Macaca fascicularis: one gene and its partners. The protein of the gene in region 5 purifies or fractionates together with the protein of the main gene of each other region. This does not show direct contact. Links are inferred from orthologs where the notes say so. Each region holds a gene or a part of one and is shown on either strand. Other genes may lie near its edges. The genes, in order: JADE1, MEAF6, KAT7, JADE3, ING4 and BRD1.

Region 1 (3,500 bases), on a different chromosome or scaffold from region 5:
TCTTTGCCCTTGATCTCCAAGTAACTGATATGTTCTCCAGAGTAGAGGAAGTATATACCCTAGTTTTCTTTGTCTGTTTGCCTAGCCCAGGGCAATATAAAATAGAAGACACTAAATAAATATTTGGTGCGCAATCTCAGAAATATTCAACAACCCATCTGCACCAAAAAAGCCTACTGTAAACATTATCTAAAAATGAACTGTGTTAAGTACAGTCTTAAGAGATATTTACCATATTTACCATGTTACAGATAGAACCCATGGCTGAATATAAACCTGTTAGGTACCCCCATGATGTGTTTACCAAGTACTGTGTCATCTATAAGTCACTGTTTCATTTTAGTCTCTCAATTCCAAGAGGTAGCTTGAGATATCCCCATTTTGCACATGAAGAAATTGGGGAGACTCAAAGGCTTTCATGTGTTTGCTCAGTAAGCAGAGAACATAGGATTCTGCCCATATTTATAGAGGGCAAATTCATAGCTTTTTCCCTTAAACATGATGCCTCAAATTAAAGACTGCCTTTAAATATGAACGTCTATGCTTCTTAAATTCTTCTATAAGAAAATTAAGAAATCATTATTTCTTCCTCAACAGTGTTAAAGCTTACAAACTCCTGCCCTATACTTTGACCTACCAGGGCTTAATGCATACCTGAAACTCTTTCTTGCTCCAAAAGCTTAGTGTAAAGATTGAATATCTGTTCCTGGACTTTGCACACAGACCGTTTAATCTTTTCCCTGCGGGTCACCATGTAAGTGAGGTTCCGAACCTAGAATGTAGAGAATAAAGATTCTAAGTAAGCAATACAGTATAACAGTACTTTGGTGCTTTTTAAATTTCTTTACCTAAGAGAAATTACTCCTACTAGGGCCTTGACAGATACTTGAAATCAATATGTACTTTAAACATTTCATCCAATCTTTAATCTCATTTTGGTAAGGATTCCACATATACCCCTGAATATAGGCAGCAGCAACACTGAAGAGGGTCAGGGACCCACAGGAGTGGGAGGGACACCTAGAGAACTGGTACAAAAGTCCTGCCTCCTCCACCACACCTAACCCATCCTGGCACAGAGGCCATTCGTGTCCAAGTCAAAACTTGCAACCTCTTGCCAGTCTTTGATTATTATTGCATCAATATCTTCTATTACTTGGATGGCCAATGGCTTTAAAGCAGCTCAGAAGCCACTTCCGCTGCACTTTATCAACTATCTTCTGAAGGCTGAACTAGGTCAACATGGGGCCAAGGGTCATCAAAGTGGAGCCCCCTGCACCAGGCCCACTGGAAGACCAAATGGTTACCAAGAATCCTAGTGAATGTCTTTGTCAACTGCACACTGAACTCACTGAAAGGCCTGGAGTTAGCAGGTAGTTTATGTGTTGCTATGAGGTGTGCAAATGCCTAGGAAATTTCCAGCTTTGCCAATGATGTGCTGGTTAGACATCTCCAGTCCAGTTCTTCGTATCATCACTTGAAAAACTGGTATTGCCCTCTCCTGATTCACTTGTAACTGAAAAGACTCAGTGCTGAGAGTTGGCTCTACTTCCTATCTGATGTGCGACTGCTTTGGATCACATAACCCTAACGTATGCTCAGTAATCAACATTCAGATTTGTTCCCCACCTGTCATCACTCAATATACAAAATTTAAAGAATTAGTCTCTAAACTCCCTTAATCCTTCAGTCCTAAAATCTATTGGTCAACCTGATTAGATTACATGGGCCTGAAAACACAGATGTCAGACACAGCACACCAAATACACAATTAAACCCTTCTTCAGGAATATGTAGACAAGACTTCCTAAGTAATCTCACTGGCAGGAGTGGTTGCATGTCTTTATCTGACCACATCTTTCCCATTAGCTCCTACAGGCTGGCCTTCACTTTCCTAAAAAATCCCATTATGAGCAAACTTTTCCCCTGCCACCTTTAAAATTTTTCCCCATAAACTCAATAAAGTAGTATCACCCTAGTTTAAGTGAAAAAAGTCCAAAGGTCACCAACCTTTTCTTTTGGCATTGAGGACATCAACAAGCATCAACAAGCCTTGTGAAGACACAAAAGATTTTGCACTCTGGTGTAGTCTAAGTGTAGACTAAACCCTAACAATTCCACTTGTGCTAAAGGCAGTCTCATTTGCAAAAGGACATGAAGCATTAAGAGAGACCGAACACAGGCTTTCCCATTTGCATCACAGTAAAATCTCCTGGCCTCAACAGGAAAATGCCAAGTCAGGCTTCTCCTGCCCCTAACCAATTCACTTTCAGGATCTTCCCGTCTTTTTTTCTGTATCAATCCCTTATGTCACTAACATTTCCTGTCTTAATTATTTTAAAATTAAAGAATTGAGAATAAAAACACTCTCCCTGTCTCATAGTAAATATTACACGGATGTCAATCAGCCTAGTTAAGGTAGTCTCTTTTGTTTTCTGACAGTTGCACACCCTCAATCCAAGAAGCAGTGTCCTTTATAGAAATTTTCACCAACTTGCGAATGGAAGTGGTTAACAGACTACTCTCTTTGATAATATTGTTCTACCCAGGGGAGATTAAGAGTGAAGCTCAAGAAAGAGGGGCCAGACCTAGATCCATAGCAGATTCAAAACTTCTAGGAAACAACCGTTTTTACATTAACAAGGAATCTCACTCCTGGAAATAAAAAATGGAAACAAATTCTGACATCTTAGGAGCAGACAGGTTGCTCTCATATTCAAATCAGATGTGTAACAGAGACACTTATATCTCTCTTACTTGAAATTATCCTTGAAAATGGAAAACAGGGAAGCCAGGGAATTTGAACTTTGTATATTATTCAAATTTAATTTTGGTAGCTTTGACCAAACCATGGCTGCTACATAGAAAAATCCCACTCCTATTCCTCATGATCTCTGATGGGAAATATCTAAATGTAAACCCAAAAAGCAAAGGGCATGGTTTTCAATTGGAACAAACCAGCCTAACTCCACTTTATAGTAGTGAGGACTCTAAACCTGACTTCCCTTATGCTCCCGGTAGGACAACGCTCAGCAACCTCCACCTGCAGAGCTGGACTGATGCTCTCCCATCCTCAAAACACACCCAACTTGTCCCTTCCTGCACCCACTGCACCCGCTGCACCAAGCTCCCTACCCTGCTTTCTCTTCTCCCAACTGCCTGCAAGGAGGTATCTGAAAAAAACCATTTAAACCATCTCCAGGTACACTCTCACACCACCTTAAACCTGATCATCACTTTCCCCTAGAGCAGTGTCCCTAAACGGGACATGGGGTACCCACAAAACAGAACCACCCTCTGGAGGTGGGGCCCATGACTTTGCATTCCTAAGTTTCCGGGTCAGACACAACACCCTGAGGACCACTGCTCTAAGAAATCCAAAAGTGGTTTCAGTGTGCCTTCTTGAATTCAAAACTGTTTGCAGCACTAAAGTTCAACGTGCCTTTTTTTCAGGGGACACTGTAGACACTACCAGATTTTCAAAGGTGACCATTCCACTG
Region 2 (4,126 bases), on a different chromosome or scaffold from region 5:
TTATCTATGTAAAAAATTCCAAGGAATCTATACAAAACCCCCCTAAAATTAGTAAGGAAGTTCAGCAAGATGGCAGGTTACAAGATCCGCACACGAAACCAGTTATTCAGAATGCAGCACAGAGGGACAAAAAGATAGAAAATATAGACGGTAGGTTAAAAATAAAGGTTTCTTATGTTCGAGTTCCAGAAAGAGAGAGAATATGAGACAGGCATCTGAAGAAAAATGACTGCGATTTCCCAAAACTGGTGGAAGATACCAACCCACAGATTATAGAAATCCAAAGACTTCCAAGCAAGAAACAAAACAAAAAGAAAAAATATCCCACTTAGACTTATGATAGCGAAATTGCAGAAGAGTGAAAGATGGAGAGCTGAGGAGGGAGAAATCAACAGGGGCCAAGTGAAAACAACGTCTACACCTTGGACTTAACGATAAAAGCGAATTCGTACTTGCAGAGTCATTGGCACCTGCCAAACCCCTTACACACATTAGCTGATTTACTCCTCACAGCAACTGTATTAAGTAGATTCTATCACTGCTTTCATTTTACAGATGAGGGAGTTGAGATTTGGTTATTTACCCAAAGGGGCACACTTTATCGATGTAGCGATAGGATTTTGAACAAGGTAGTTCTCGCTCCAGTTTTGTGCCCTTAACCACTACACATACTTGTTTCTCCAAAGGGCAATGGGAAAATGGGAAGCCACTGAAAGGCTTTAAACAGGGGAGTGATAACATTTGTTTCTGGAAGATTCCGGCACCACTGTGGATAGTGGATTAAATGGGGCTAAAGGTGGAAATAAAGAAGCTGTTGGAATAACGTAGCCCCAAACAGGGAGGGCCTGAATGAACTAAGAAGGTGGCAAAAGGCGCAGGCACAAGCAAATGGATTCGCGAGCTCTTCCGGAGTCGAATCCACAGGGCTTGACCTGGTATCGCGTTTTACTCCGGGTGCAGAGTGAGGAAAACCGGGTTTCTGACGCAGGCAATTGCGGTGGATAGTGAAAGTCATTCACTGAAGTGGACTGAGGCGGGACGCACAGGAGACTCGGAGGCCTGAGGACGAGCTAGGCTTTGGACACGGTAGATTTGTGCCGTCTGTAAAGCCCGCGGCCAGCCGAGGGGCAGGAAACGGCGTAAAGGGCAGAGCAGAAGCCGACTCTCTGGACCTCTCCGAGAAGGATCGTCCAGAGTCCCGGCCGCAGAGCACCTCTGCGCGGCGCTGCACGCGTCTCCGGAAGCCGCGCGCGCAGGCGCAGTGCGGGGGGCGCCCCCTGGCGGCGCAGGGACCGCCCCCAACCTCGCGCCGCCGCCGCCCGCCTCAGCCCAACATGGCGATGCACAACAAGGCGGCGCCGCCGCAGATCCCGGACACCCGGCGGGAGCTGGCGGAGCTCGTGAAGCGGAAGCAGGAGTTGGCGGTGAGGGGCTAGGACCGGGGTTGCCCGGCATGGGGCTCCGCGCCCGCCCCGCCTCCAGGCCCCAAGCCCGGCTGCGCCAGGCCGTTCGTTACTCCGGGGGCGCGGCGCGGCGGGCTGTGTGCTCGGCGGCCTGAGGCCGGGTGCGCATTCTGCGGCCCGCCGGCGGTTCAGCTTCCCGGCTGTGCGAATCCGGAGCCGGGAGGGAGCTGGGAGCGCGGGAGGGGGAGGGGCAGCGGCAGCCGCAGGAGGGGGCGTGGAGGGAGGACGGTGCCGGGGCTCGGGACTCGGGGAGAGGGCGCTAGGAAGGGCGAGGCGGGCGAGTCCGTGATCTTTGCGGGGTGGGGGTGGGGTAGGAGGCTAGTGTGGGAGGGGGACCGAGTCACCCTGTCTGGACTTTGGAGGATGGTGGGGAGCGTGTTCTTTTTGGTACTAGTAGTAGATCCGTTGAATGGAGGCTTTTGATAGACAGGGTTGTGATGTGTTTGGGAATATCTAGAAGGTGACAGGCGAGGGAGAAGAACACATTCTGGAGAATTCGGAATTGTGACAGGCACCCAAGGCCCAATGCACCCTGGTGGCTAAGCTCTTCCTGCCCTCACGTCTCGGCTTGGGCACCCCGGAGGCCCCTCTCACCTGAAGCTGCCCTTCCAGGTTTCCATAGCAACTGGCAGCCCGGTGCCGGCGGCCTCTCTGAGCCTGCGGGGAGGGGAGCGAGTTGACGCTGAAAGGCTGCTCACCCTTCCCTCTCCTGGTAGCGATACCTTTTGTGCGTGGGAGTGGATATCGCACAAGTTCTGCGTTAGCCTGGGTTCTTGACTCCTGGTTTCCGTGAATCCTCTAAAGTATATGCAAAATTTCGCGTGTGTGTGTATTTTTCTGGGGACATGCTTTATACATTCAGAGGTCCATCACACCCAAAGGTCTAGACTGTCTTAGTCCTAAACGGCTGCTCCTCCCCATATCATCCATCTCTCCACAGGGTGATTTAGTGTGGACAAGCTTGCGTTTACAAATCTAATATCAGGATTTCATTTTGGTCAGACTTAAGTGTTTGCATTTAAAAGGCATTATTCATGTCCTTGTTTTTCATCTCTCAGGAAACACTGGCAAACTTGGAGCGACAGATCTATGCTTTTGAGGGAAGCTACCTGGAAGACACTCAGATGTATGGCAATATTATTCGTGGCTGGGATCGGTATCTGACCAACCAAAAGTGAGTGTCGAAAGCCTGTAGTGTTCCTATTGTGTTCCTATTGTGTGTGTTTGTAGGACTGTAGGCTCTTAGTAGCAAGTTTGCTAGAGGCAGTAGTAAAGTGGTGGTGTGGTCTGGACTTGAACTCTTGGACTCTGGCTCAGGCACTGCCTCACTGAATAATCTTAGACAAAGCTCACGTCTGTAAAATAGCAAAAGTTGGGCCTTTGGCACAGGGTTGTGTGAGGCTTAAATACAGCATATAACAATATCTTTATACAACATCACTCTATTAAATTTTTTACACATTTTAATCAGTCGTGAGTTCTACCCTCACAGTATTTTTCTTTTCTTTTTTTCTTTTTCCTCCTGAGTAGCTGGGATTACAGGCGCATGCCACCATGGCTGGCTAATTTTTTTATTTTTAGTAGAGACGAGGTTTCTCCATGTTGGCCCAGCTGGTCTTGAACTCCTGACCTCAGGTGATCTGCTGCCTTGGCCTCCCAAAGTGCTGGGATTATAGGTGTGAGCCACCATGCCTGGCCACTTTTCTTTTTTCTAAGAGACAGGGTCTCATGCTGTTGTCCAGGCTGGAGTGCAGTAGCACAATCTTAGCTCACTGCAGCCTCAAACTCCCGGGCTGAAATGATCCTCCCACCTCAGCCTCTCAATTAGCTGGGACTACAGGCACACAATACTGCACCTGACTAATTAAAAACATTTTTTTTTTTTTGTAGAAGTGGGGTCTCACTTTGTTGCCCAGGCAGGCCTGGAACTCCTGGTTTCAAGCAGTCCTCCTGCCTCAGGTTCTCAAAGTGTTGGAATTAAAGGGGTGAGCCACCACGCCCAACTGACCCTCACAATTTTTGCCATACCTGTGTGCCAGCTGTACCACTGCTTGCTTAGTAATATTTTTAAAAAATTTCTAAACTTTTGGATTATCTTCAAGTTATAGAAAAATGGGAAGAATAGTATATGAACACTTGATACTGTCCTACCTGTATTCAGATTGTTAATGTGTTGTGACATTTGCTTTCTCTTACTCTCTATAATATTAATATAAGCACACACCTGTATTTACATTTCACGTTTTTAAATTGTGAAATAATTATAGATTCATAGGGAGTTGGCAGAATGGTCTTTTGTAGTCTTCATCTAGTTTTCCCCAATAGGTGTGTTGTTTTTTTTTTTTTTTTTTTTTTTTTTTTTTTTTTTTTTTTGAGACGGAGTCTCACGCTGTTGCCCAGGCTGGAGTGCAGTGGCGCGATCTCGGCTCACTGCAAGCTCCGCCTCCCGGGTTCCCGCCATTCTCCTGCCTCAGCCTCCTGAGTAGCTGGGACTACAGGCGCCCGCCACCGCGCCTGGCTAATTTTTTGTATTTTTAGTAGAGACGGGGTTTCACTGTGGTCTCGATCTCCTGACCTTGTGATCCGCCCGCCTCGGCCTCCCAAAGTGCTGGGATTACAGGCTTGAGCCACCGCGCCCGGCCAATAGGTGTGTTTTATATAAC
Region 3 (2,206 bases), on a different chromosome or scaffold from region 5:
ACACACACCTATAGAGAACCATTGTTATCAAAATGATTAATAGTGAAGCCTTCCGGAGTTCTTTTTTTTTTGTTTGTTTGTTTTTTTTTTTGAGACGGAGTCTCGCTCTGTCGCCCGGGCTGGAGTGCAGTGGCCGGATCTCAGCTCACTGCAAGCTCCGCCTCCAGGGTTCCCGCCATTCTCCTGCCTCAGCCTCCCGAGTAGCTGGGACTACAGGCGCCCGCCACCTTGCCCGGCTAGTTTTTTTTTGTAGTTTTTAGTAGAGACGGGGTTTCACTGTGTTAGCCAGGATGGTCTCGATCTCCTGACCTCGTGATCCGCCTGTCTCGGCCTCCCAAAGTGCTGGGATTACAGGCTTGAGCCACCGCGCCCGGCCCCGGAGTTCTTTTAGTGCCTATTACAGTAGTGCCCTCCTTATCCGCCATTTCACTTTCTGCAGTTTCAATTACCTGTAGTCAACTGCGGTCCAAAAATAGGTGAGTACAGTACAATAAGATATTTTGAGAGACAGACAACCTTCACATAACTTTTGTTACAGTATATTGTTATAATTGTTCTGTTTTACTATTACTGTCTTCCTGTTCCTAATTTATAAGTTAAACTATAGCATAGGTATGTGTTGATAGGAAAATACATAGCATATATAGGATTTGGTACTATCCACAGTTTTGGGCCTCCACTGAGAGTCTTGGAACACATTCCCTGGAATGAGAGGGGACTGTGCTTCTTAAACCTTCTTGCATGTTGGCACACTGTTTTTTGCTATTCGGGTAAGATCTAGTGCTGCTAGAAAAAGTTTGTATTTGTTCCCTGGCAGGTTATTTGCTTTCCAAAGTCGAAGAAAAAGTTGGCTCCCCAGAACGTCCACTCTCAGATCTGGGGCTTATAAGCTATCGCAGTTACTGGAAAGAAGTACTTCTCCGCTACCTGCATAATTTCCAAGGCAAAGAGATTTCTATCAAAGGTTGGTTTTTGACTCCTTGGAATGGTTGATTGTTGCCCAAGAAGTTAACTCTAGTGGGTATTGTGTTTCCCCTAAATATGAGAAAGGAAGGCCAACTGAAAATGGACCACTGCAGAGACCCTCACTAAAGTTGCCTAGGAATCCAAAGCATTTGGCCCCTGGGAATGGTTATTAATTGGCTTCTCAAATCCAGAGTTGCTAACACTAATTCTTGTAAAAGTCAAGAAGAAAAACTTCAGGTCTTTTGGTTCATCTCTCTGAGAAAGACATCTCTGTGTATTTATGCAGGGGTGGAACAATTTAGTTTGGTCTATATTTGACCCTGATTTCTAAGGGGCCAAGAATAGCTTCTTGCTGTAATATCCTTCTGTAGTTATTTGGACTGGTCAAATGAATACTTTGTAAACTCCTTCTAAACAGATTGGGTTGAGTACAGAAGATTCTGTCCATTTGGATTTCCTTTAAGGGAAAGTAGACCTTGGTTGGGGGCAAAGGGGTGGGAACCTGCACTTTGGTCAGGTTGTCAGTAGATCTTCTGTTTCAGAAATCAGTCAGGAGACGGCTGTGAATCCTGTAGACATTGTCAGCACTCTACAAGCCCTTCAGATGCTCAAGTACTGGAAGGGAAAACACCTCGTTTTAAAGAGACAGGTAAGGTTTTCATCAGCAGCTTGCTCATTGTTGGATGTTCTTCAAGGCTTAGCAGAGCAAAGTAGGGGCCTTACGACTCAAGAGAACCTTCCCTTAAAGGAGTTTGGCTACATGCCCCTTTTCCTGGGTCTCGTTTCTGTAGCTGGCAGTGATGCCCGCATTGCCTTATCCGTATCAGAAGGTTTTGGTAAGCTCCTGTCTCAAATTTGGATGACACAAGTTAAGCAGCTCCAGTTAAGCAGCTTTATGTTGTACAGCACTTCTGTCATTTGATGATTTTCTTACATGGGAGGAAATTGCCCATCTGTAGAGGAATCTTCACAAATGCTGTCTCAACTCATACTCACTTCTAATTTTTAAAATTGTTTCACACATACAATAAAGGTAGGTGAGCGATGATTTTCATTTCTCACTGAGGGTAAAGTAGGAAGAATGGATTAGATAGAAAAGTCGTTTGTAAGTCAAAAGATAGTATTTTTTTATACCCTAATATGTTGTTAAACCTTTGGCAATTCCTTCTTGGTGGTTAGTTATTTTGGAATCTATGTAAAGGCATTTGAGTTGAAAGTATATAATCCTTTTTCCCATTGT
Region 4 (3,500 bases), on a different chromosome or scaffold from region 5:
ATCTTATGGAAAAGACAGTAGAAGTCCTGGAACGCCATTGCCATGAAAATATGAACCATGCTATTGAGACAGAGGAAGGGCTAGGCATAGAGTATGATGAAGATGTGATCTGTGATGTGTGCCGGTCTCCAGACAGTGAAGAAGGGAATGATATGGTGTTCTGTGATAAGTGTAACGTCTGTGTGCATCAGGTTAGTGAGAGTGGAGACCATCACCTCCCTACGGTCAGCCTTTCTCAAGCTCAGTGATGATCTCCAGCACCCATATCTGGGTAGCGGCTTGCATTTAAGGGTGAAAATAAAGATTTGGCCTGGTTGTTCTTCAGTATTTCCTCTAGAAACAATACTTCTTATGACCACCAAGATGACTTGCTGACTAACTTTACCCCATGGGGCTAAACCCAGGTCTTTATTGTGTCACTTTGTGCCCAGACCATTGGGATTGCCTTGTTCAGTTCTCCCCTAGGCCCCTGCCCCAGGGGGATCTCATTGCTGCCTGTCTGAGGTCTCTCCTCTGCCTTCAAATCTCCATGGCCTCATGAGGTTACACCCGTGGTCAGTAACCTTGGTGAGTTTACACTTCCTACAGATAGAAGTCCAGACTCCTTATCCTGGCACTCAAGACCCTCCCCCATCCCCTAAACATGCCACTCCTAAGAAGGTCCACCCCACTTTTAAAGATCACAGAATTTTAGGACTGCAAAAGACTGTGTAACTCTTCAATCTTACATAATACCAGGAGAGGTGAAGTAACTTTACCCAAGCTGGTTATTTGTCATTCTTTCTACTACACTGCCTTTTTAATTAATAATGATTATGATATCAACCCTCCTCTCAGCTCTTTCCATTTTTTCCCCCACAAGCACTATGCTCCAACAAAGTAAGGTTACTCAAGGTGCAGTGATGAATATTCCTGACACTGTCCTATCTCCCATGTTTCAGCTGCACTCCAATTTGTAAATGCCTCCTCCTATCTCCCAGCTATCAAAAATCTACATATTTTTCAAGGTCTAGTTCAGATCCTTTCTTGAACTCCCTTGCCCTAAGTGGTTTTTCATTCTTCTGAACCTGTTTATATTTCATTCATTTTGTTAATTTATCTAGCAAATAGGTACAGTACTCCATGGGCCAGGATTGTGCTGCATGCTGAGGACACACTCAGTGATGAAGAGAGGCAGACATGGTCTCTGCCCCCAGGGAGATCATAGTCTGGTGTAAGAAATATAGGGAAACTGCCAGTTTAGCATCATGTGCCAAGTGTTTTTATATATATAAGTCCAAGCTGCTGTGGAAGTGCATCTGTGAGAAATGATGGTCAGGGACAACTTCCAAGAGGTGGCATCCAAGCTAAATCTTAATGTCCAAAAGGAGATGTCAAGTAAACCAGCAATGTGTGTTCAGGCAGAGAGGAGAAATGTTCATACAGGGTAGTGAAAGCAGGCAAAGTATGTCAGAGGCAACTGAAGGCTTCAGAAACTATAAAGTGGCAGAGCAGAGTAGGGAAGGCATGGAGAGTGAGGGTGGAGAGGGATACAAGAGACGTGTGTAAAGGACCTTCTGACAAACTAAGGAACTTCAGTTCTGTCCTGTCAACCCTGGAGGATGTGATTTGTATTTTAGAAAGATCATTCTGGCTATAAAATGACTAAAATAATTAGAATAGATAACATAGCAGATAGAAACCAGGGCTTAAGATTATTTTAATTCCCTGTGCCACCTAACCTAACCACCCTGTATGTAAAAGGTACTCACAATTATTATGTGACCAATTGGGTCTTTTTCTTCATTTACCTTTAACAAAGTAAATTTTGAAAATTTGTCTTCACTTTACCAATTATTGGCATTTATATCAGACTTTAAGTGACAGCAGAAAATGTTTACCACTTAACTATGAACTTAAGTATTATATCTCACGATACAAGCCCACAGTCCCTTCTTTGCAATTCCAAAATTATAAAGTTCTGAAAACCACACGTTTTTGCTGAAGTTTCACACCAGAACTGATTTGAGGACAATACCAGAACCCACCCAGTATGAGGCCATTTGTAGTCCTTATCCATTTTATGTAAATACTCATATATTTTGTTAGAGAACTATTAATGTGTTTGGTTATATGGTATTGCCCCTGGTCCCACTGGGGGCTTAGGCCATATACTATATATATACTTTCTTAAGATCTGAGCGGCCGGGCGCGGTGGCTCAAGCCTGTAATCCCAGCACTTTGGGAGGCCGAGACGGGCGGATCACGAGGTCAAAAGATCGAGACCATCCTGGCTAACACGGTGAAACCCCGTCTCTACTAAAAAATACAAAAACTAGCCCGGCGAGGTGGCGGGCGCCTGTAGTCCCAGCTACTCGGGAGACTGAGGGAGGAGAATGGCGTAAACCCGGGAGGCGGAGCTTGCAGTGAGCTGAGATCCGGCCACTGCACTCCAGCCTGGGCGACAGAGCGAGACTCCGTCTCAAAAAAAAATAAAAAAATAAAAAAAAATTTAAAAAAAAAAAAAAAAGATCTGAGCAATTCTGAATTTCCTAATTTTTCTTACCCTAGAGGTTTCAGATAAATGATTGTGGATCTGTAGTAGGCTTAAAAGGAATAGCATAAAGGTCATCTGTATATATTTCCTATGTTTGTCCTTTACAGTTGGGACAAAATAGTAAGTATTCTCAGGTTCTTTAACAAAATCAAATGTAGCGTAATTATCTCCAATGCTATTTATTAGTCTTGAAAACGATTCCGGTAATGACTATAAATGATGCCCCTTTCTCACATAGAAAGAGATGAGATGACAATAACTGACAAGACCTTGCAGAATGTAAACTGGTATGTATTAAAGCTGGGACATTGGTACCCTATAAAGTTTCACATAAGAGATTCTTCCAAAGTAAGTATATTTACTTGGATTCTAAAGAGATACTTAGCTTAGAGCTCCCTCTGTTGGCTGAAAAGTGACTTAAAATGCTTTGGAAGCTTTGGTTTACTCCCTAACAGAATGGGGACATGTTGACATCTGAATTTATTAAACATGATTTTTCTTCTTTACTGACACCATATTACATTTCAGTGTTTGTTCTTCAGTGACAAAAATACACTTATAGTCAGTACTTTAGAAGAGATGTGTACATAAGTAGCCTTTAGATTTTAACAATGAATTTACCATTTTTTCTTTAAAAAATGTGAAAGTTGGGCCAGGCACAGTGGCTCATGCCTGTAATCCCAGCACTTTGGAAGGCCAAGGCGGGTGGATCACGAGGTCAGGAGTTCGATACCAGCCTGGCCAATGTAGTGAAACCCCGTCTCTATACAAAAATTAGCTGGGTGTGGTGGCACGCACCTGTAGTCCCAGCTGCTCGGGAGGCTGAGGCAGGAGAATTGCTTGAACCCAGGAGGCAGACATTGCAGTGAGCCAAGATTGCGCCACTGCACTCCAGCCTGGGTGACAGAGTGAGACTCCATCTCAAAAAACAATGTGAAAGTTAGGGCCATTCCAAGTCCTTTTA
Region 5 (4,041 bases):
TTGGGAGGCTGAGGCAGGCAGATTGCTTGAGTCCAGGAGTTCGAGACCAGACTGGGTAATGTGGAGAAACCCTGTCTCTACAAAAAAATAGAAAAAATTAGCCAGGCGTGGTGGTGCCTGAGATGGGAGGATCACCAGAGCTCAGGAAGTTGAGGCTGCAGTGAGCCATGATCATGCCACCACACTCCAGCCTGGGCGACAGAGTGAGACCCTGTGTCAAAAAGAAAAAATACTAATAATTTTAAAATGTAGGATATTAAAAAAAATAAAATAAAATGTAGGATATTGATATACAGACTTGGAAACCAGCAACAGCAGATGACTCAGCCTGATTTGCGGCAGACAGAACTGCTGTGGGATGTTTTTGAGAAGGAAACAATGGCTTTTGAGACAAAATTCAAGAAGCAGCAAGCCCTTCAAAGAAGCATCTTCAAACATGGACAAAAATATACTTCGTATTAATGTGGTGTGCAAAGGATCCCTTGCTGTGTTTCAATAATTTAAATTCCCACTATGATAGCAATGTTTTCAGCACCTTGAACGGACCTTTAAGGCAAATATTATCAGTATGTTCCATTACTTGAGTGCATGGCACAGTACCTCTGAACATGCAGTACTTTTTAGTGGGAAGGTGATGCTAGTCGATGGAAAAGGTGCAAAGAACAAGAGGAAGAAATGTGTTTCACCTAGCCACCCAGGGGCCATTGTGACCAGGCCTCTGTCTCTGTTGTAGACCTGAAGGCTGAAATTGACAAGTTGGCCACTGAGTATATGAGTAGCGCCCGCAGCCTGAGCTCCGAGGAAAAATTGGCCCTTCTCAAACAGATCCAGGAAGCCTATGGCAAGTGCAAGGAATTTGGTGACGACAAGGTGCAGCTTGCCATGCAGACCTATGAGATGGTATGGCCCTGTTCATGGCTCCCCACCTACCTCCCATCTAATCCTCAGGGTCTTAGACCCTTCCTTCAACTATGCTGGGATCTGTTTGGGGTCTGTGAGATCCATAAACTCTGCCTTAACCTATTTTCTTTAATTGGAGATAGTTTTGTACCTCTCCTTTCTCCTTCCTTTCCACCCAGGTGGACAAACACATTCGGCGGCTGGACACAGACCTGGCCCGTTTTGAGGCTGATCTCAAGGAGAAACAGATTGAGTCAAGTGACTATGACAGCTCTTCCAGCAAAGGCAAAAAGAGTGAGGAGGGGGGCGGGGCTGTGAGAGGTGGGGCGAGGATTCAAAGGGAGAAGTCAGCTCTTCATCTGGTGGGAAGTGGAGCACCAGGTTGGAAAGGGGGAGAGAAGAGGACTTAACCCATCTTTCCGTCTCCCTGCCTTCTGGCTTTCCTCCTCTTCCCTAGAAGGCCGGACTCAAAAGGAGAAGAAAGCTGCTCGTGCTCGTTCCAAAGGGAAAAACTCAGATGAAGAAGCCCCCAAGACTGCCCAGAAGAAGTTAAAGCTCGTGCGCACGTGAGTGTATCAGGGAGCCCTTTGCTAGATGACATCCTCTTCTCTCCCGGTGCCCCACTCCCAGCCTGCACCGCCCCCTGCCGTTTTCTGTATCTCTGCGCCAAGAACTCTTCTTACCGTTTTGGTATCTGCTGGAGAAGCCACAAATCGTTTGCCCTACCAGGATCTCCTGCCACCTCCGAAAGCCTCAGGCTTTAGCTTCCCTTTCTGCAGATGACACTTTCTCTTCCTCTTGGCATGCAGAAGTCCTGAGTATGGGATGCCCTCAGTGACCTTTGGCAGTGTCCACCCCTCTGATGTGTTGGATATGCCTGTGGATCCCAACGAACCCACCTATTGCCTTTGTCACCAGGTCTCCTATGGAGAGATGATTGGCTGTGACAACCCTGATGTGAGAAACATTTTGCCTCAGGATGGGGGGTTGTGAGGGGCATGAAGGGAGTGGGTACGAGAGGAAAAATCCCACAGCTGAGTACTGGGACTTCAGGATAGAAGAAAGATGGGCTGGGCGTGGTAGCTCTTGCCTGAAATCCCAGCACTTTGGGAGGCTGAGGCAGGCGATCACGTGAGGTCAGGAGTTTGAGACCACCCTGGCCAACGTAGTGAAACCCCTTCTCTAACTAAAAATAGAAAAATTAGCTGAGCATGGTGGCACACGGCTGTAATCCCAGCTACTTGGGAGGCTGAGGCAAGACGCAGGAAAATTGCTTGAACCTGGGAGGCACGGGTTGCAGTGAGCTGAGATCCGGCCACTGCACTCCAGCCTGGGCGACAGAGCAAGACTCTGTCTCAAAAAAAAAAAAAAAACCTGAAAGCCTGGTGCGGTGGCTCATGCCTGTAATCCCAGCACGTTGGGAGGCCAAGGTGAACAGATCACTTAAGATCAGGAGTTCGAAACCAGCCTGGCCAACACAGTGAAACCCCGTCTCTACTAAAAATACAAAAATTAGCCAGGCATGGTAGCATGTGCCTGTAATCTCAGCTGCTCGGGAGGCTGAGGCAGGAGAATCGCTTGAACTCGGGAGGCAGAGGTTGCGGTGAGCTGAGATCATGTCATTGCATTCCAGCCTGGGCAACAGAGTGAGACTCTGTCTCAAAAAGAAAAAAAGAATAGAAGGAAAATGGTTGGAACTGGTTGGCCTTGGGACTTCCAAGAATTCTCCAAAAGGATGGAGTAAAGGACAGGATGTTCCTAAGGAATCTGGAGGGGCTTTCTCTCCTTCCTCTGGCCCATCCCGGCCCCTAACTACTACTACTTTCTTCCTCTCCAGTGTTCCATTGAGTGGTTCCACTTTGCCTGTGTGGGGCTGACGACCAAGCCTCGGGGGAAATGGTAAGTGGCAGGAGTGGGAGGGTCCCTAAGTTGAGTGGTCGAGGGCGTTCTCCTTTCACTCACTTTTCTCTCCCCTTCTCCAGGTTTTGCCCACGCTGCTCCCAAGAACGGAAGAAGAAATAGATAAGGGCCTTGGATTCCAACACAGTTTCTTCCACATCCCCTGACTTGGGCTAGTGGGCAGAGGAATGCCTGCGCTGGGGCCAGGGGTTCAGGGAGAAGTGGATGGCACAGTACTGTCATCCCTTCTCCTCCCCTCTCCCTACTCCCGGTGCTGAGGCTGCATCAAACCCTGGTAGGGAGGGGTGCCGCAGCCACTGACGGTATGTGCTCTCCTTCAGTCCTCTCCCTTCGGAGGGACGTGGTCTTGCCCACTGTCCTTTTGCCTCCATGCTGAGGTTGGTGCTGTATTTCAGAGGGAGGGTCCTTTTCATTCCCCTTGCTTTGTATTTAAGGACTGGGGCATAGCATGGGGGCAGTCCCCCAGACCTCTTCATTCCCCCTCCTCCTGTGGTGAGGGCTAGGTGTGATCAACACTTTTCTTCTCCATTCCCTTCCTGCTTTTTTCATGGTGGGGGATCCACCAGGTCATCTAGGCTCTGGCCCTAGTTGAAGGGGCACCCCTTCCTCTGTGCCAAGAGGATTCATCCTGGCCTTGTGAATGGGAGAGGGGGCAAGGTGGAATGCAGATAACTCACATGTAAAAGGAACTTGGGTAGGTAAATAAAAGCTATACATGTTGGCCTGCTGTGTTTATTGCTGTTTTAGTAAATGTGCTGAGCATTTTTTTTGCATCCTCTGGGTTGGATACGATGTGAGAGGATGGCATTCCAGAATTAGGACACCACATGAAACCAGAGTGGCGCCTCTGTCCGAGAACCCACAAGTTCTCAACTTGGGAAAGACAGAGGTGCTGGAGGGTGGGCCTCAGACCAGGGGTCTCCAAAACTTTGTAAATTGTGCATCTTTTCTCCATAAAACATCTTTCACTTAATTTCCAATAAATGATGTATTTGTGCTATACATGTGTACTGCTATACTATACATTAGCTTGACTTCTTTTTTTTTTTCTTTGATGCAAAGTCTCACTCTGTCGCCAGCCTGGAGTGCAGTGGCGTGATCTCGGCTCACTGCAGTCTCCGCCTGCCGCGTTCAAGTGATTCTCCTGCCTCAACCTCCTGAGTAGCTAGGATTATAGGCATGTGCCACCACATCTGGCTAATTTTTGTATTTTTAGTAGAG
Region 6 (4,154 bases), on a different chromosome or scaffold from region 5:
CTTCTGCAGAGCCTTGACAGTGACCACCATGGAAACACCCACAGGCCGAGTCAACCTGCCGCTTCCCCTCAGGGGCACTCCTCAAGCCCCAGTGAGACAATGGTGCTGGCCATGTCCTCCTCCTTTCCGAGCGAATCCGGATACGTGCAATACACCAAAGGGCATCTCTCTGTTCTCCCCGGCACACGTGAAGGTAGACACTCTGCTCAGGCTACACAGCGAGGGGCGGCCCCCAGGACCCCCTAGAAGCTTGCAGAGACCCTCACCAGGAGGGTTGCCAGCGCTGGCTCAGGTGCCTGAAGACTTGGTCACAGAGATTTAGGAGAATTTGCCGTTCCAGAGATGGGCAAAATCAGTGAGCTGCCACCCATACCTCCAGCTCCTTGTGGCAGAGGCCTCTGCTGTTCGAACACCACGGACTGTGTCTGTTCCCAGCTGTCCCCGGGGTGCCTCGTGTGTGGGCACCTCCAGTGAAGACCACCACCCGCCGGGCAGTGCCTCCCTCCAAAGCGCCACACTTCACTGACAGGAAGCAAAATGATTTTTCAGTGACTGACTCGCAAAACAAATATTCTCAGCTGAAGCCCAAGGCCCACTCTGCATCTAGCCCTGCAAGGTCAGGGACGCCTGGCCTCGGGGCCCAGGGGGAGCAGGGGCACCCGCAGCAGCCTGGCTTCAGAGCCTCACCCTGGGCCTAGATCTACTGGGCCTCAGAAAAAGCCCTCAGGGAGCAGGCTTCCCTCTGTGAGTCCCGAAAGGAAATCCCAGCCGACTTCAAGGGCACTTCTTAAGACAGACCCTCCAGCCACCGTGTATCTTTCCCTGTATCAGACAGAAATCCTCATTGTATGTTGAAACTAGATTGCAATTACCTACAGAGAGGACAGGAGAGAAAATGTGGTCAGCCAAACCTCAGCCCCCTTGCATTTCTAGGGCCTCCAGGTACCCACTCAACCCTGGATTCCTGGAGAGCTGTCAGTACAGCCCAGCCGGCCCTGGGAGCCCTGCAGAGGTGACACCACAGCCTGCAGAGAGCTACCCTAGTGCACCCGGGACGGCGACACGCGTCATTACTGAGGTGGGGCAGAAGCAACAGTTGGTTACTCACCAGATCAGAAACGAACCTGTAATTTTCCCTCGACAGCAAAGTCCTGAGTCGCCCTAACGACAAGCAGCCCCCGGAAACCCACTCTCTCCCAGGGAGCCGCGAAGCTCTTCATCTCAACACTTTCTACAAGGGGGAGAACTGAACCGAAGGCTTCACGGCCACAGCAGCTCTCAACACGGAACTGGGACCCGGGGAGAGTAGACCCTCGGCAGCGCAGGGCGACCCACGCCCTTCCCTGCTTCCCCGCTTCCCCCCTGGGCCGGTTCTGTCCGTGCTGGGACACGCATTTCCACGGGGAGGGATCCGCGGAGGCACACACGTCGCTTCTCAAGGAATAATTCCCTTAAGTACATCCTGAAGAGCTCTGCGGGCCAAAAGCAGGGAAGGCTGCTGCCCACAAGACGGCCGCTTCCCTCTTCCCACCGCCCGCCCAGGGAGAAGCCGACCACGCGCCGGGCCGCTCCCTAAAGGCCACGGGAGCCGCGGCCGCTGAGCTGTGCGAAGTTGTGTGAAGCACACGGCACTCGGGACGGCGCTGGGCCAGGCAAACAAAAACCTCCGCCGATTCCACTAACTACACAACCACCTGGCGACCGACCCTCAAAAACAGACCCGGACGGCCGCGCTTTCTGGGGGACGGGCCCGCACCCCGCGGGGCAGGGGCTCCTGCTGCTGAGGATTCTCAGAACTCCCGCGTCCGCTCACAACAGCCGCGTTTCCCGTGAACTGCGCTTCAATCGTGTCACTCGTTTAAAAGGCCCGGGGAAGCCTCGCGTTCGTCGCGAGGCGTCTCCCTGCAAACGCCCGGGGAGGCGGCGGCGCCGGTTCTCCAGCCCGGCCGCCGCAGGCCGCGCGGCTCCTGGGCGATCTCGGGGCGCGTCCCTGCTCACAGGGAGTTCCCGTCTGGGCAGAGCTCGGCCGGCCTGTCTGTTACATAAGGGGCGGCCCGGCCGGCTCGGCGGCTGCCCGAGGCCCGACCCGACTCGAGCGCGGACTCCGGGCGGGCGCCGCGGCCCAGGCCGCCGAGACCCATAGCCCGACTCGGCCTCCCTCGACTCCCCGGCCTGACCTCCCCGGTCTCCCCGCCCGGCCTCCCAGGCTCCCTGCCTGTCTCCCCGGCCGCCCGGCCCGAACTCCCCGGTCTCCCCGCCCGGCCTCCCCGGCATCCCGGGCTCCCGGTCCGCGGACAATGCGGAGCCGCCGCCGCCGCCGCCGCCAAACATGGCGTCGGCACCACAACCCCGAGAGGCCGGGCCGAGGCGGAGGCGGCGGCCCGGGAGGCCCGGGCGGCCCGCGAGGCGGCGGGGAGGCCTCCACGGCCAGGCCTCCGCCCACTCACCTTCGGGGCGCCGCGGCCGCGGGAGCCCGGCAAGCGGGCGGGCGCGGGGGCCGGCGCGGCCGAGGCGGCGCTAATGGCGCCCGCGGCTCCTCCGCCAACGGCCGCGCAGGCCGGGCCCCGCCGCCGCTCCTGGGCGCGGGCTCCTCTCGGCCGCGGCGGCTCCGGGCCCGGCAGCGGCGGCCGCGGACTCTCGGGCGGCGGCTCGCGCGGCGCGGGCTCGGGGCCCGGCTGGAGGCCCGGCTCGGGGGGCCCGGCCGGCGGGCGCGGGCGGCGGGCGGCGGGCGCGGGACGCGGGGCTGGCTCGGACGCCAGGGCCGGGTCGCTCGCTCGCTCCCCAGCGAAGCAAACAATGCGGCGAGCGCTCCGCCCGGCGCGCTGCGTGCGAGACGCGCCCCGCCCGCCGCCGCCATGACGCGCGGACTCCGCCGCCTCAGCGGCGCGCGGGGGAGGGGGCGTCGCGAGGAGCTGGGGCCAAGTGGGGACCCTGAGGCGGCAGGGACCGGGCTGGGAGTGGGGGGTCGGGAGGATGGAGAGTGGGGGCCCTTGAGTTAGGGAGGACCGGGCCAGAGGGTCCCTGAGGAGGTCAGGAGGATGGAGAATGAGGGGCCCTGAGGCAGGGGGACAGGCCTAGGAGTGGGGGACCCGAGGCAGTTGGGGAGCAGCCGGGAGTCGGGGGCCCTGAGGCAGAAGGGCATTGGCCCGGGGTGGGGTCGCTGAGGCGGGGGGACGGCCCGGGAGTGGGGGACCCTGAGGCAGGGGGTACCACCGTCCGGGAATGGGGGACCCTGAGGCCGGGGGACCGGCCGGGAGTGGGGGACCCAGAGGTGGGGGTACCGGCCGGGAGTGGGGGTCCCTGAGGCAGAAGGGCATTGGCCCTGGAGTGGGGGGGCCCTCGAGGGCGGAGGGGGGAGCAGCCGGGAGTCCGGGGTCCTGACAGGGGGGACCGGCCAGGAATGGATGGCCCTGAGGCAGGGCGATTGGCCCAGGAGTGGGGGGCCCTGAGGCAGGGGGCGATTGGCCCCAGAGTGGAGGGCCCTAAGTGGGCAGAGGGGACCCTGTGGGCCCACTGGGTGGAAGTGGAAGGGGCACTGGCCGGGGCACCCGACTAAGTAGGGGAAGGTGGTGCAGCCGGGCTGGGGAGCCTCCCCTAGTGAGTGTCAGGCCAGGTGTGCAAGTAGTCCTGCCAGTGTGAGGGCCCTGCCCAGTCCGGCGTGAAGCAGATGCCCTTTGAGGTTGCAAGAAAAGGCCCCTGCGGGCGCGAGTTGAGAGGCCTGAGTCTCTGCCTTCGCTTTGGCCTTTTGTGTAAACTCTAAAATTCAGTGGGGTCATAACAATTTTCACTCCAAGATTAAGTCCCAAAATGTTTTAAGGTGAGGCAGGAGCTCCTTGGTTTCCTTGAGAATCTGTGATCAGGACGATGGTGCTGTGGAATCCCTGGGTTCCAGCAGCCCAGCCTGTGGCATCTAGGCAGGCCCCTCGGGCGGAGCAGCTGTCCACCCTGGGACAGACCTTCCCCATGGGGCAGCAGAGCGGCCCCACTGCTCAGGGCACTGCATCAAACACCTTATTGGGAGTGGGGTGGCTTTGTTCACCCAGGTGTCCCTGATGGGGCAAAGCCCCACAGGCCTTTTCCTGGCCAGCCCTCATGCCCATGGCACCGTGCGTGGGTTGTGATGTGAAGACTTGAGGGCAGGTAGGACCCCAGCC

Evidence for each region.
Region 1: the proteins of ING4 (region 5) and JADE1 purify together in Homo sapiens (affinity purification with mass spectrometry; 4 studies listed by BioGRID and IntAct, with this or other methods). This does not show direct contact. The link is inferred for Macaca fascicularis from reciprocal best matches to the Homo sapiens genes ING4 and JADE1.
Region 2: the proteins of ING4 (region 5) and MEAF6 purify together in Homo sapiens (affinity purification with mass spectrometry; 5 studies listed by BioGRID and IntAct, counting the BioPlex papers as one, with this or other methods). This does not show direct contact. The link is inferred for Macaca fascicularis from reciprocal best matches to the Homo sapiens genes ING4 and MEAF6.
Region 3: the proteins of ING4 (region 5) and KAT7 purify together in Homo sapiens (affinity purification with western blotting; 6 studies listed by BioGRID and IntAct, with this or other methods). This does not show direct contact. The link is inferred for Macaca fascicularis from reciprocal best matches to the Homo sapiens genes ING4 and KAT7.
Region 4: the proteins of ING4 (region 5) and JADE3 purify together in Homo sapiens (affinity purification with mass spectrometry; 3 studies listed by BioGRID and IntAct, with this or other methods). This does not show direct contact. The link is inferred for Macaca fascicularis from reciprocal best matches to the Homo sapiens genes ING4 and JADE3.
Region 6: the proteins of ING4 (region 5) and BRD1 purify together in Homo sapiens (affinity purification with mass spectrometry; 5 studies listed by BioGRID and IntAct, with this or other methods). This does not show direct contact. The link is inferred for Macaca fascicularis from reciprocal best matches to the Homo sapiens genes ING4 and BRD1.

Annotation. Positions count from the first base shown.
Region 1 is NC_088379.1:133,880,415-133,883,914, reverse strand, and holds part of JADE1 (protein Jade-1), read right to left. Parts: intron 773-3,500; coding exon 655-772; intron 1-654.
Region 2 is NC_088375.1:197,413,481-197,417,606, forward strand, and holds the start of MEAF6 (chromatin modification-related protein MEAF6), read left to right. Parts: upstream 1-1,326; 5' UTR 1,327-1,334; coding exon 1,335-1,424; intron 1,425-2,521; coding exon 2,522-2,637; intron 2,638-4,126.
Region 3 is NC_088390.1:56,883,167-56,885,372, reverse strand, and holds part of KAT7 (histone acetyltransferase KAT7), read left to right. Parts: intron 1-817; coding exon 818-964; intron 965-1,508; coding exon 1,509-1,615; intron 1,616-2,206. UniProt on the Homo sapiens protein: Catalytic subunit of histone acetyltransferase HBO1 complexes, which specifically mediate acetylation of histone H3 at 'Lys-14' (H3K14ac), thereby regulating various processes, such as gene transcription, protein ubiquitination, immune regulation, stem cell pluripotent and self-renewal maintenance and embryonic development.
Region 4 is NC_088395.1:47,145,887-47,149,386, forward strand, and holds part of JADE3 (protein Jade-3), read left to right. Parts: coding exon 1-191; intron 192-3,500. UniProt on the Homo sapiens protein: Scaffold subunit of some HBO1 complexes, which have a histone H4 acetyltransferase activity.
Region 5 is NC_088385.1:7,574,393-7,578,433, reverse strand, and holds the end of ING4 (inhibitor of growth protein 4), read left to right. Parts: intron 1-733; coding exon 734-900; intron 901-1,079; coding exon 1,080-1,194; intron 1,195-1,357; coding exon 1,358-1,466; intron 1,467-1,709; coding exon 1,710-1,857; intron 1,858-2,737; coding exon 2,738-2,799; intron 2,800-2,882; coding exon 2,883-2,922; 3' UTR 2,923-3,541; downstream 3,542-4,041.
Region 6 is NC_088384.1:1,729,638-1,733,791, reverse strand, and holds the start of BRD1 (bromodomain-containing protein 1), read right to left. Parts: upstream 2,801-4,154; 5' UTR 2,448-2,800; intron 2,350-2,447; exon of another isoform or gene 688-2,349; intron 1-687. UniProt on the Homo sapiens protein: Scaffold subunit of various histone acetyltransferase (HAT) complexes, such as the MOZ/MORF and HBO1 complexes, that acts as a regulator of hematopoiesis.